Drosophila melanogaster: one gene and its partner. The protein of the gene in region 1 purifies or fractionates together with the protein of each later gene. This does not show direct contact. Each region holds a gene or a part of one and is shown on either strand. Other genes may lie near its edges.

Region 1 (5,527 bases):
CGCCTTTCATCTGGGCACCGAGCTGAAGCCCATCTTTCGTCGCTGGCAGCAGGAGCACCAGTTCTCCCTGGTCACCCAAACGCAAACGGGTCAGATTATAGTCAAGGAGCCCGTTCGTCATCGGCTGTGTGCCCACCAAGTGGCGGACACCTGGCATGTGCCCTACTGCGCGCAGTACACGCCGCATCCCACAGACAGCTTCGAGGTGCCCGCCAACTGGCTGTGCATCCAGATGAAGGAGCAGACGATACCCGCCACCAAAACCAAGACCAAAACAACGAGGTGACCATGTGAGCAAGACTTCTTATGCGAATAAATAGTAGCCAAATGTTAACACGAATACACTGAAGGAGCCGTCCTAGTCGCAGTCATAGCGGGTGCACTTCTCAAAGGCTCCAAGACCCTGCGGCTGGGGCTTCTTGCGACGGCGCTCGTACAGCAGCTTCTTCTCGGCGGCGCACATGAGCCGACGCTTGATGTGATTGTCCATCTCGAAGTCCAAGTCGGCCGGCTTGGCCAGCTCGTTGGGATCCCTTGTGGCTGCCGAGTCCAGCGCCTTAATGATCAAACTGAGCAGCGCGTGCGCGAGGCGATGGCACACATCGTACTCGATGGCATCCTGGCTGGTGTAGTAGATGGCCGACTGTGAGGTGGGCTGCACACCAATGGCCAACAGGATGTTGCAGAAGATGCCGCGCTGCATGCGCGCATACGGATCCACCAGCTGCGGCGGAATGCGCATCGTTGTGGCCAGATGGGAAATGAATTTGGCGAACTTCTTGATGAGCACGTTCAGGTACTGGGTGCGGCACTGGCGCTCCAGCTTGGTCAGCATGTTGTAGTACAGTTCCTGCTTGCGCTTCAGGAAATCCTCCTTCTTTCGCTCCTTGGTCTTGTTGCTCTTAAGGATCTGCTCCAGCTGTCTGTTTTTGGGAATGAGATGAGATGATTAGATCGCGTTAGCAACTGATGCAAGCGCTGCACTTACTCCGTGGTAATGGCTTTGTATTTGCCCAGCATGCGCTTGATCCGCTTGGCCCGCAGCTTCGGATCGTATACATCCTTGAACTGCTCGTAGTTGTCGATGAGCGTGTGCAACTTGGGCTTGGACAGGGCCACGTCGTAGGGCTTTACCTTGGGCGGCAGTGTCGGCTGGTAGGCCATGCGCCGCACATACAACTCCAGCTTGTCCAGTTCCTCCTCCCGCCGCTTCTTTACGTTCTCCTCTGCGCACACATCCGGATCCTCCTCCTCGGGCAGCGACTCCGTCGACGTGGGCATCGGCTCATCCCAATCCGAGACATTGGAGCTGGCCATGGCTGAAGAGTACTACACGGAACTGAACTAAACGAAACGAAACGGAACGGCTCGTCTCGGCTTGGTAAATTTGTACGTATTGGAAATTTAGCTTTGAACTTGGTTACTTATAAACACAAAATAATGTTTCGAAATCTTTTTTGTGTACGAAAAATTTGGGTAAACGGGAGCACTAACAATTTTATGTATTCACGCTGCGATAGTGGATCACCTTATGAGCAGTCCCAGTTGAAATGTGAGCGAGGTAAAACCAAAGGACTACTTGATAGTCAGAAAAGTTCTACATGTTTTCAAAGAAATGGAACATTAATTGTATGGCAACAAGATTAAGGAATTCCAATGACTCACACCACTAACAAGCAAAAGAGCACTGCATATGTGGTTTACAATTAAATAAGCAACGTTTTATTATATGTAATGTAATGTAATGTATGAATATTAACCAGTGGATCTATGGATCTAAAGCTAGTAACACTCGTTCTGCACGGATCGCTCCAGGGCGAAGGTGTACTCCTCGGCCAGCTCGTCCACGGACAATTGGCGCGTTAGTAGCGCCAATATGCTGTCCACCTGCATTTGGGTGCTGGTGTAGCGATCCTTGTTGGCCAATCCGGGTGCCAGCTCGAATGGAATGTCCTGCAAGTAATTGACGGGTCCTTGGGCTCCGGGCTGCTTCACTTGATCGCTGCGCGGTCCTGGCATCGGCGGATAGGGCAGATAGCCCGCTGGCGGCATAGGTGGATACATGGAGCCGGCTGGAACACCCGGATGAGGAGCATCCGGTACTGGTTTGCGCTCTATGAACACGAAATCATCGACACTGGTGCCTGGACGGGTTGCCTCCGCCGGTCCCTGGATGGGCTGGTCATCCGTGGGCGTTTCCGCGGGCTTGCGTTTGCCAAATATCGAAAACATTGCACTATTTTGTTCTATTGTTTGGTAAAATCAACTGGCAAATTGCGTCGTCCGCCAGCTGTGATGCTCTTTTAGCGGGCGTTGGTCCAAAACAGCGAGTGCTAGCTAGTGGTGTGCCCAAAAGATGTAAACATATAGGTGTCTATAGTGAGGTCTGAGCGAAATATGAGAATTTTGGGTATTTAATTTTTAACTATTTGTTTGCTTGGGTATTTTTCGGTTACGAATGTGTATACCCAATATAAACTTTATTAATTGCAAGTAGTTAGATTTGGAGTGAAATGCAGTCTGCACTGAATTTCCGTTAATCGCCTATCGGTGGGCGCGCAGTGTGGCCATTCGCTCGTCGGATGCGCAGGGCTGGACAACCGACACTGCGCCCGCCTCCGTCGCCAAGTGAAGTCGCTCCGAGATTGATTGTGTACACCGGATAAGAGGAGCGAGCGAAAAAGATGTCAAAATTGGACCAGGACCCGAACGCCTCACTGAGCATCATGGAGGTGAGTGTGCCGCCGGGACGCCATTCAGAGCTTCAGTGTGTCCACTGCCCGGAGCTCCAATTCCAATCGGCGGTGGCTACTCTAGAGCTGCCACATTAACGCATTCACAACTGTCTCCATTTCCCACATTTAACATAACTTTACTACTTCGCGCAGCAAATCAAGCAGCTCATCCGCCCGCCGCCCAACGAGGACGAGAAGATGATGCAGCGGTCCACCAACACGAAGCATCCGTACTACAGGCGCCCGGGCAGGGGCCACAACCACGACTATTGTGACGCCTGCGAGGAGGGCGGCAATCTGCTGTGCTGCGATCGATGCCCCTCCAGCTTCCACCTGCAATGCCAGTGAGTATATACACGCGCATATAGCTGCTCATTTTGAGTGCTGATTTCGTGCTTTCGCCACAGTGATCCACCGTTGAGCGAGGAGGACATACCCAGTGGCCAGTGGCTGTGCCACAGCTGTCGCATGAGCAAGCTCTCCCAGCCGCCGGCCTCCTCATCCAAGGCCAGTTCCGTGGAGCGTGTGCCTTCGGCGGGCAGTGGCTCACGGGCGAATACTCCATCGTCTGGCGATCTGGAGTCCATACCGCTGAAGATCCGCAACCTGCGCAAACGCAGCAACAGCGAACGCAATAGCACCGAGAAGCTGCTGGCCAAAATGCCGATGTCCATACAGCGCGCCCTCGATCCGAACAAGAAGCCAACGCCGCTGGACGATGTCATCAGGGCGGCCACCATGATGAATCCGCAGCAATTCTCGCTGCCGCCGGAGCTCGAGCTGCACACCCAGTTCCCGGGCAATGGCAAGGTGCAACCCGTACAGCAGACGCATCCGCCGAGCGGAAATGGCGGTAATCGCAGATGCGCCGGCAATCAGCGACGCAACTCCAAGCCGTTTGAGCTGGATGCCCAGGGACTGGTGCCGCTGCCCGCCAAAACCTGTTTCTACTGCACGCGCTCCTGCAAACGGGCGCCGCTCATCTCCTGCGACTACTGTCCGCTCTACTTTCACCAGGATTGCCTGGATCCGCCACTGACGGCACTGCCAGCTGGATTGTGGATGTGCCCCAATCATGCCGAGAATTTTATCGTAAGTCAGCCAACGCACATGGAGGTCTGCTTGGGTTCTAATGAGGATGTCTGTTCACAGGATGCCAATATGACCAATAGCATTTCGGCCACGGAGCGGGTGCGTCTCTGGAATCGCTTCCACCAGCCACTTGACCATGAAAATGTCAAGCTTGAGTTCTTCCGGCGTGTCAACACGCGCAATCCGCCCTTTCGCACCAAGAGAAATCTGCGTGCTCGCGCCCACATCGAGGTGCCAGCCATTGTGCGCTACCACTACGATCATCCGCCGCCGCTGTTGCCCTCCATGCGCCAAACGTTGCGCTACGATCGGGTAAAGCGGCGCAATAACCTGCCCACCGAAGTCGAGGAGATATCCCGTGAGTCGGTCACCGAATCGCTGCTCAAGGATCTGGAGGCCTTGCGCACGGCTCACGCCAAATTCCGTGAGATTCAGAGGGAATTCGGAACCTTGGAGACGGCCATAGATGGCGATAGCGACAGCGATCCCAGTCCTGAAGAGAAAAGGACCGAGACGAACACTCCCGCCGATAAAGTGAATGGCGAAGTGGATACGGAGAATCCCAATACAGAATCGAATGCGCAGGCCAGCGAACAGCCGTCGGTTGTCAAGGTGGAGTCCAAGACCAGCCTAGAGGTGGAGGCTAGCTTCGAGGAGGACGAGGAGGACAGCAAGAAATCAACGGGTATTATCGATGCAGACCTCTTACACCTGGACGTCGATATAATCAAGAAGCTGGCGCACCAGCGTCTGCAGCAGCTGGTCGAAGAGCATCCGGAGATTGTGACACAGTACAAGAATCGCACGGCCGCTCGTCGCCTGCGTCAACTGGCGTCAGTCGATGGCACACATGTGGCTGGCGAAACTGCTGCCCTGCAAGGCCAACTGGCGCCGGAGGATATGAACCGTTTCTCGCTGCTCTTCACCAGCGAAACGTCCTCAATTCTGGCGCAAAAGAATGGCAATGCCGCCGACGAAGATCCCGCAACGGCCCTGCATCCGGCACTGGCCACAGCGGCGGCCATTGCAGCAGCAGATGCCGCTGCCGAAAGCTATGCGCCGCGTGCCCGTAGCGACACGGAGAAGGCATACGAGCTGGCATCGCGCCTGGAGCTCAAGCTGCTGCAGTGCAAAGTGCAGGCGCGTGCGGTGATAACGCCACTGGGCGACATGCTCGAGGATAGCCGCTGGTTCAGTTCGCTGGGGCTGGACCATTCGATTTTCATGCGCTACCGCACGCTGTACATTGGCTACGGTGGACACTATTCGCCATCGACGACGCTGGCGCAAACGGAGACCGTGGACCTGTCGGCCATTGGTTACTGTTGTCGCATTTCACCGCAGCACGCCATCATCTTCTACGACGAATTCTCCAAGTCGTACGAGCTGATCAATTACTCAGAGTTTGGCACCGAGGTGAATGGACAGCTGTATGCCTGCGACGTGACCGAAAGGATGACAACGCACGCCGGCAAGCCGATGCGACCTGACGATGCGGAGCTGAAGAAGCGCGTCGATGAGATGCTGGACAAGCGTCGGAACATTAATCGCCAGTTCGAGACGAAGAAAATCGACAAAGAACGGTAGCTATAGTTTATTTGCCCAACTTACCCAATGATGATGATAACCACTTGTTGATTTAATCTCCCCGCAGATTGGCGCCCATTGTTAAGCCCGCCTGCCGCTGCATGAACGCCGGA
Region 2 (8,710 bases), about 12 Mb from region 1:
CAGGCAGTCCACCAGGGACCTGTAGTAGATGTCGACAAGCTCCTGCCGCCGGTCACGTAGCACCTCCAGTTCCAAGCTGGTGTTCAGGAAGTAGTTGATGTCGAAGCCCAGGCTGCCGTAGAAGCACAGCTGGAAGTCAATCTGAAGGGGCAGTAAAAAGGGCATTAAAGGATCAGTCAATTCTGATATAAACACTAGCTACTAGCTGCTAGTTCTTAGTTGGTTTATGAAGAAATAAATAATCTAATATTGGAGATTGCTGGAAGCCTCAATTTTTGTGGCCAACCTTTTGGTACTTACAATCTTCACCTGCTGCACCGTGTACTCCGCATCGTACTTGAAGAATATGTTGTTCACCCAAAGATCGCCGTGATTGAGCACGTTATGGTTGCCGCGCAGTGGGTACACCGCCTTCAGGACTCGTTCGGTGAAGTGCTCGTGGTAGCGGTAGAGCTTTGTGGTGATCCCACCGAATCCCTCACAGTCACCGACCAGAGCGGCCAGCTTTAGGAGCTGAGTGCCGAAGAGCAGCTTGAAGGGCTCCGAATTGATGGCATCCATGTGGAGCAGACCGAAGGGATAGCGGTCCACAATGGTTTCTGGCTCCCGTTCGGCCATGACCATGGTGAGGGCATGGTATTCGGCCAGTTTGGCCATCACCAGAGCGGCGTGGTCAAAGTCCAGACCCAGCTGGCGGCACTTCAACTGATAGCCTGCGGCGCAAAGGTCCTCCAGGATGATCGTCTGCTCCGGCTGGGTCGTGGAATAGTAGTGCCTGCAAATAGAAAAACGAAAGTTACTCCTCATGGATCCTAGACACACTGCCGCTTAGAACTCACTTGGGAGCCAAAGTCCAAGCGCTGAAACTATCCACCGCCCTCCACATGAGTGCCTCCAGCTTGGGCTTGATGTGCATGTAGAAAAGCGTCTCCTTGTTATAAATGTGCAGGCGGGCCAGAATGGCCTGCTTCTCGTCCGGCATGGACTTGACGATCAGGGATGTCTCCATTGCGCAGCTCTCGGCATTGCGATACTTAATCTGAGCTCGGTAAATGTTGCTGCAGTAGTTTTCCCCGCCACGCGTCAGATTGGTCAGCTGGACACCGATGACCTGCAGGTCCAGCTGCTGCAATCCGTGCTCCAGGGTGCGCCTGAAGAACTGCGGCGTAAGGTACAATGGTGGCTCCTCCAGTGCGTCCGACATCGTGTATCCGTAAATTGCAATTGTGGCGGTGAACAGCCGGCTTTTTATGCAAAATCTCGGAGAGCACTTGCCGATGCCTCATTTGTTGCCTAATTGATCTTAATGGACAGGGCACGACTGGACCTTCCTCAATTGCCTTGATGGAAGTGCATTTGCCGCTGGATTAGCGGTTTGCAGATTGAAGAACATAGCCGATTTGCAGATCTTCCAGCACAGATCGTTGCTGGAGTACCCATTTATTTTATTATTTAAATATATAACACGAAATATTATGCCATTTTGAGGAAATTGGCCCTATACAATGTCTTCAGTTCAAACTTAAAGATTCCAAATATGTAAGTATAAAATAAAATATATTAGTCCTTGAACCTAAAACTACACTTTAAATTTTTTAATTTTTTAAATTTAAAGAAAACAGGAGTGTTTACATTTTCAAACCATAATTAAAAACGCCTGCTACTCTTAAAGGTTAGTTTTGGTTATCTCTAGAGTGGAGGGCGTTCGTATCGTTGGCGCCGTGGTGGCCAGACTCCTGCTGGGCATGGTTCCGGGTGTGGGGCAATTTTTGGATCGCTTGGGCAGAGTAGCCGCCCGCAAATAGGGATTATCGATGTTGGGGTTCTCCAAAATGGCCTTGTTTGTGTTGGAATTGGGCTTGATATCCAGCTCGGGCTTCTCCTCTTTGGATTTGTCGCCATCCATCTCCTCGTTTTCGCTATCGCCCTCTTCGCCGTCGTCTAAAAGGGTGGAAAGTGTTAGCACTCGTGGCATCTGACTATTTGAAAGAAACGCACCTTTGCTGGGCTCATCTTCTGTGCGATTGGCCACCAGATAGTGGTACTCCAGCTCCTCGAAGTCAAACACCTGATCTGTGGGATTTAAAGCGGCTGCATAGGGAGGAAAGGCCGGTTTGCAGGCAATTACTGAAAGGAAATGGTTATTAATTATTGTTCGCTGGATGATTATGGTGCCTCTTACAAGGAAACATGTTGTCCTCGGTGGGAAAGAGGTTGTTCGTCTCCGTGGTCTTGCAGAGGAACTTTGTGAGCGCCTTCTCGATGTCCCGCTTCTGGCAGGCGGCCTTCTCCCTGATGGCCTCGTACTCTGTTACGGGCTGCTTGTGCGTGGGCGTCCGTATGTAGGCGTGCGGATCGGGCATGGGAGGGAAGTAGCTGGGCACGTAGTGGGGATGCGGGGCCTTGATGCCCGCTTGCAGCAGACTCAGCGGGCGCTGCTGCGTCTGCTGTGGGGGCAGTGGAATGGGCACGTGCGTCTCCTTGCGCATGTACGGATCCAAATTGGAGATCGAAATGCCCATGTTAATCAGGGCCAAACTGACATCGCCCACGGTGGGCATCGTGCGTCCACTTAGCTCGCAGTAGTTATGCGCCGAATTGCCGATCTCCCAGATCACTGGAATGGCGTGCTAAATGATTATCCTAGTACAAAATGGTAATCACAATGTCAACTTACACGCCTGCAGCATCTGGGTGAGCGTCTCCAGGCTGTGGTTGCTCGCTTGGCCGGCCCCCTTGTCCAATAGCAGCTGGGACACCACCTTGTTTAGGATCCGCCTATAGGGATCAACATTGGACACTGTTACCGCCTCCACCTTCTCCATGGAGACAGAATTCAATTTGTTTATGCTAAAGTAGAAACCGCAGTGAATATTGCCACTTTAGCGGCTAGTGATGGCACTGTTCGGCACTATCGACTACAGCTATCGGCGCAACGCTCCTTATGAGTTCAAGTGCAACTCCACTGGTTATTTCAATATTTCATCTGGCATTAAGATTTTATGTTAGTTAAACCAAGGCTTGGCATTATAAATCCTAAATTTTCAGTTCTTAAGAGTTTATTGAAAAGCTCAGTGGAAAAACACGTCACCAGAGATTGTTAAACTGATGAAAGACATTTTAAATTCTGAACTAAGTCCTAGGAAATAAAGTAAAAGTTATTTTATGTATTTATAGAAACAGGCAATTTTTTAATAATTCCAACAAACTAGTTAGTTATTCCCCTGCATAAGTCTAAAGCATCTTTTTAAGATAAATTCTCAACCATTATTAAATAAAATCGCTGAGGCGTCAACTTATTTATAAGCTGCATTACACAGCAATAACATATTATAATACAATTTTACTGTACTATATTACTTCTATATTAGTAGTTATTACTGTACACTTCTACTATTCCACACTACTTAGTCATACACTATACCATAGATTCCTCAAATTGCCTTATAATATTTTTAATATAAAATGATGACTGGGCAAACATCGGTAGTCGATGGTTGGTTCAAAAACAATCGATATATAGAAAGGAGTGCATCGCAGGTGCACCATCTCCAACAAATCAGTGTATTTTTTGTTGTTCTTTGCCAAACAATAGAAGACGAACGTACTCGGAAGTAAATTAAACAAAATCGGGCGACCGGATCGGGCGTTAATCGTTAATTGTTCAATTAAATGCAGCTTATTAGGCGCCGGGCTGCATAGTGCGATCGCAGAGTCACCGAGTGGACCGGGCCCCCTGGCGCTATAGTCGCAATCCGAACCCGAATCGCTCCATCGGGAATCTTTAATTGTGTACGTATATATGGATGAATATGGATGGATGTGTGTGGATGCTGCGTTGACTAATGTTTTTCGGATGGGGTATAGAACAAATGTATAAATGGATGGCTGAGTATTGGGAGGGGGATAGCCACTCGAACTTCCTAGCAATTTGCACTTATAATTGGAATCGTGTGCGGTCTTTTTCGAATGGATTCTATTTTTAAGCTCCGTGCTCCGTGCTCCACTTTGGTTATCAGCCGGAGTTTCCCCACTTCCCCAGAGTTGTGTTGCATATACATATGTACTAGCTGTAATCCTCTTTCTTTGTCTGCGCGCCAAAGAGTTTTCATTTCGAAACCTTAGAAAGTCTAGGTGGACAGGGAAAAATAAAATCTTGATTAATGATCGATGGGATATTACTATGAAAAACAATATTATTAACAACAGTTAATAGTAGTTAATATTGTATACTAACTCCCTATGAGCACTTTTACGTAATGATAAACAGAACAGAATTCATTTCATTGATCACATAATGGCACCTTTAACCATATCAATATTAATATATTAACAAAACAAGCACTGCTTTGGTTCGTTTGTTTTGTTTTTGGGTAGTATCCCTGGTCCGACTTTTGTTTATTGCATTTGGCTGGTGGGTTTTTGCAGTTTTACAGATGACTCAGAGCTGTCGGCAGTCACCTGTCTATGTATATCTTATCAGTAATTAAATACAGAACATATTGACAATCGAGAAAACACACAAAATTGTAAAAAAAAAGAGAGTCATCTCCTCCATTCTATTCCGTTGTAAAGTGCGCACTCGAACGTGCGGCTGCGTTTGTTTACTTCATTTCTTTGGCGACGTGAGCATGTGAGTGGTCAAAGAGAAACTCGGACCTGGCCCTGGTGTGGCGACCTACAAAAGAATGCCATGCAAAAAACCCAGCAGCACGATCATGAATCACTGGTGTGGGGCGGCAAAAAGCACCACCAGATCAACATCATCACCACCACCGACACCAGCAGAGATCAGATATAACTCGGTATCGGCGGTACCGGTTTGTATTTCAAAGTTGTTTGTGCTGATACATAAACAATTAAACAAAAAAATACCCAAATTAGTTTCAAATTGTTTATAGGGGTGAGAACGTATTTGTTTACTGACTTCCAAGAAACGCCAACATTCTTTTCACTATCTAATTTGGCTCCAGTTAAGCCAAAAGCTCAACAAAGTGAACCCTTAACTGGTCTTAATATCAACTTTCCCTCCATAAACTTTAACTTAACTTGCATAATGTGCAAGTTAAAAAATATATATATATATATATATGTATATACATCTAGGATTCATAACTCAAATTGTCAGCTTACTAATTGCTCTGTCGGTGAATTTGCCTCAGGAATCCGAGCGATGAACAAAGTGGGCAAGCACATTCAAAGCGGCATCGGTGGAGCACCCAACGCGGCATTGTCCACGGCGGCTCTACTGGGTACTCCGCTGGAGGCGACCAATGGTGCTGGCTCGACCAGCACCACCAATGTATTCAATTCCATCATGAGCTTTCTGCCGGACAATCGACCCATCACCTCGCTGCACATCGTCGAGGATTTCGAGCGGTTAGTGTGCAGTGGCCCATTTGACAGTGATTTGTCCATACTAATAGCTTTTGTGCGTTTTAGCTGCCCGAAGAACTTCAGTGCCATAAGCCGCACCTACGACCAGGATTCGGATGCGGACCTATGGCGCGACTACAGCCTGTTTGGACGCCAGAACACACGCTACCTCTGCCTGTCCAAGTCCGAGGGCCTGCCGGAATACGTGGTGGAGACCCTACAGTGAGCTCAACTCATTGGATTCCATCTCCTCTTCGTTTATAAATGAAATCTACTTGGTTTTCAGAGTGATTTCGGATAAAACGCCGCCGCCCAAGGAATTCTCGCAGGTCTCCCGCACTGCCGATAGCGACCAGAAGGCCTGGCGCAAGCGGCAGTTGATCTACAAGCTCTCCAAGCGCGGCACTGTGACCCAGGCGGTCACCGACATAATACTCTGCTCCAAGTTGAAGGCAGCGCCCGATGGCTTTAAGCTGGCCGGCGATATCAACGGAGTGCTTATCTGCTACAAAACCAGCGCGATCCCAGTGCGCCTTTCGCCGCCAGTGCCAGGTGGAGGATTGCCAGCTCCAGCCACTTGCGAGGTGGAGCAGGCCCTGAACCGCCTGAATCTCCAGGGTCAACGCAACTCACGTGGACCAGTAAGTCGTGGCTCTGAGTCAATTGCGTCTTAAAAAACTTTCAATGCTTGGCCATTTCATCAAACAGCTGCCACAACCGCCGACTGAACACCATGACTATGAGGAGATCCAAGCCAACTATCAAATAAACTCGCCACAGCGACCGGCGCCACCGCGGCCAGCGGGAGTGGGTTCTGGCGGAGGACACGGTACTTACGGCGGAACGGGCACCTTGGGCACCTACACCGAGCTGGAGGGAGTGCCTTTCGTCATGGACGTTAGGCTGCAGCGCAACCAAGCTGTGAATGATGTGAGTGACGCAGCCAGTGGCTTTCAACCTCTCGCTCTAATTCGATATTCGAAATATGTATGCATAGATACCTACACTGCCAGAAATCTCTACGCTGCTCAAGTCCCTGGACTATGACTTTCAGCTGGAACGTCAGATCTTGTGCACCATGAAGTCATCGGCATCTAAGAACCCGTTCTTTAAGTAATATTCGCAAACTTTCAACAGAAGCGTCGCAAATTGATGGTTGGGCAAATGTAAACAGCATGGCAAAAGAACCGGAAATGAGTGGATTTTATATTTAGTTTAACGTAATCGCAAATAGATGCGCGTGTGGCAGCTGCCATGGTTAACCCAGTAGTTATTCAGTTGGTATTAAGTTCTGAGGACCCCGGCCCCTTAGAGTAAAATGTGTGTAATATTCCTGTGCCTTCGATATGTATCTAATTTGGATGCTCGCCCGAGCAATCAAACACCTCAGTTTCGTAGAACCCCTCATTGGAAAGCAACCGAATCAGAATCCTACCTATTTACATCATAGATATCATTCATATACATACATGCATCGATTAACCCCAAATCAAATTGTGATCAAAGGAGCGAGCGCAATGTTTTGTCATTAATTTAAAGGCGCTACATCAGATGGCTCATTCGCATATGTATTTCGAAAGGCCGACGCATAAGATACATGTACATACATGTGTATACACCTATGTTAATGTTGAATAAAGTCCAGAATGCGGACTAAAGCTAATATAAACCTAGTACATACAAGCATATATCTAATATATATATATATATACACGTTTATAGGCCACATAGCACTTAAAACCAGTTGGTTTTTAAAAACATATATCTATTACATATTAGCTCTAGTGACGATTAGACTGTATTGCAAAATCATAGATTCTTCCCAGCTGCCTCCGTCCCCGTCATCCGCATTCCCAGCTCCTTTTCGCCCCTCTTCCTCCAAAAAATACCCCACCATGTTATATAGCAGTTCAAATACAAGAAAAAAATATATATACGCCACTGAAAATACAATATCGAGTCTTCTTTTTTGATGATTCAGCGGCAGAAGAGCTTTGGGACAAACGTGGCTCTGGACTTCCTGGGAATTCGTAAGAGCATCTGAGCATTAGTCAGTTTAAATAATTATTAAAGATATCAAATTGAGAAAACAATTAGTTTTAGTGTTTATATTAGTAAACATAAGTACAAAAGTTAGTTGATAAAGTAAGAATATAAAAAGTAATCTTAGGACACAATTGCTAGCGGGGCGTAAAGTCATTCCATATATGTACAGTGCTCTCTCTGGGATGAAGGATCCATTGGATGTCATTGGGCCAGCTCAGAATAGATTGTGAAAGAGCAGGTCCGGCTGCGACAGAGTCTTCTTTAGGTTGCGCATGCTCAGGCGGCGGCGATCGGCGGTGCATCTGTAGACGATGTGATCGGGATTGGAAACAGATTCGGGAGCGAATCGGGAATGGGTATAGAGGTGTGGCAGGTACAGTGGGGTGTTCGGTTTCGGGTTGAGGATTTCGGATTTCGAGTGGTTAGCAAAGCGTTCGACACAACGGCACAGTAGGTGAGCGGTTTGGATGAGACGTAAGCGGCTGGGATTCGGGTTTTGTGGGTAACAGTAGCGGCGGGCGCCCGGACACCAAATGGACCATCACCTGGGAGACTGGGGCTGTTCCTCCTCAGCGGGGCTCGCACTTACTCGAATATGCGCCCCTGGTACTCGATCATCAGCTTGACGCAGTCGGCCAGCGTTTCGCCCTCGCGCAAAAGTTGCTGGATGTCCTGCATGTGGACGCCCTGTGGCACCGTGTGAAAGATCGACGGCGTCACCGATATGGACAGCGTTTCAGCGCTGATCTGCTGCAGCGGCACCTTGGTTATTCTGCAAATTCAAATGTATATTAGTTACCGATACATATGTATATTGTAGTACTACGCGAGGCTCTCTAACCTATTGAAGTGACCGAAGATGTAGTCCATGGTGTCCCGGTTGCTCTCCGGCAGCGAACGAATCAGTCTTTTCAGGGAGTCCAACTTCGCAGACAGATCGGTTAACACTGCGCGTAGGAAAGGAAGAATTAGAAGTGGGCACTTGAAGAAGAATACCTTCCGAACTTACACCACTGATTGGGCTGTCCAATGAAGGTCTTGGCCTCGTTGACCCTGACCAACGGACTCTTGATTTCGCGCAGGAAGAGCTTAAGCACACCGGTCAACGTGTGTATATCGACGTCCGGCTGACGCAGTGAATCGTAGTCGTTGGCGTCGATGCTGAAGCGCAGCGTTTGGATTTTATTGTAGTCGCCGCACTGCCGATAGATGCCCTCGATGGGCTGCGTAGATCTGCGGTACTTTTGCTCGATTAGATCGCAGCAATCCACAACGATGCGCGGCACAG

The links. The genes of interacting proteins can lie anywhere in the genome.
Region 2: the proteins of CG15891 (region 1) and Mvb12 purify together in Drosophila melanogaster (affinity purification with mass spectrometry, with the first as the bait; one large-scale study listed by BioGRID). This does not show direct contact.

The regions. Positions count from the first base shown.
Region 1 is NC_004354.4:6,292,822-6,298,348, forward strand, and holds CG15891 (uncharacterized protein), read right to left. Parts: upstream 2,525-5,527; 5' UTR 2,233-2,524; coding exon 1,783-2,232; 3' UTR 1,696-1,782; downstream 1-1,695. Other genes in the region: mldr (mulder), read left to right, coding at 1-286; CG15892 (uncharacterized protein), read right to left, coding at 359-923, 989-1,317; CG3815 (uncharacterized protein), read left to right, coding at 2,685-2,732, 2,889-3,079, 3,143-3,827, 3,888-5,410, 5,482-5,527.
Region 2 is NC_004354.4:18,096,175-18,104,884, reverse strand, and holds Mvb12 (multivesicular body subunit 12), read left to right. Parts: upstream 1-3,570; 5' UTR 3,571-3,792; intron 3,793-4,623; exon of another isoform or gene 4,624-4,820; intron 4,821-5,138; exon of another isoform or gene 5,139-5,162; 5' UTR 5,163-5,173; coding exon 5,174-5,379; intron 5,380-5,442; coding exon 5,443-5,598; intron 5,599-5,662; coding exon 5,663-6,017; intron 6,018-6,084; coding exon 6,085-6,306; intron 6,307-6,373; coding exon 6,374-6,493; 3' UTR 6,494-7,327; downstream 7,328-8,710. Other genes in the region: CG7135 (uncharacterized protein), read right to left, coding at 1-141, 301-775, 840-1,204; Taf8 (TBP-associated factor 8), read right to left, coding at 1,667-1,941, 1,999-2,127, 2,183-2,617, 2,678-2,825; RhoGAP16F (Rho GTPase activating protein at 16F), read right to left, coding at 7,637-7,904, 8,012-8,194, 8,264-8,369, 8,432-8,710.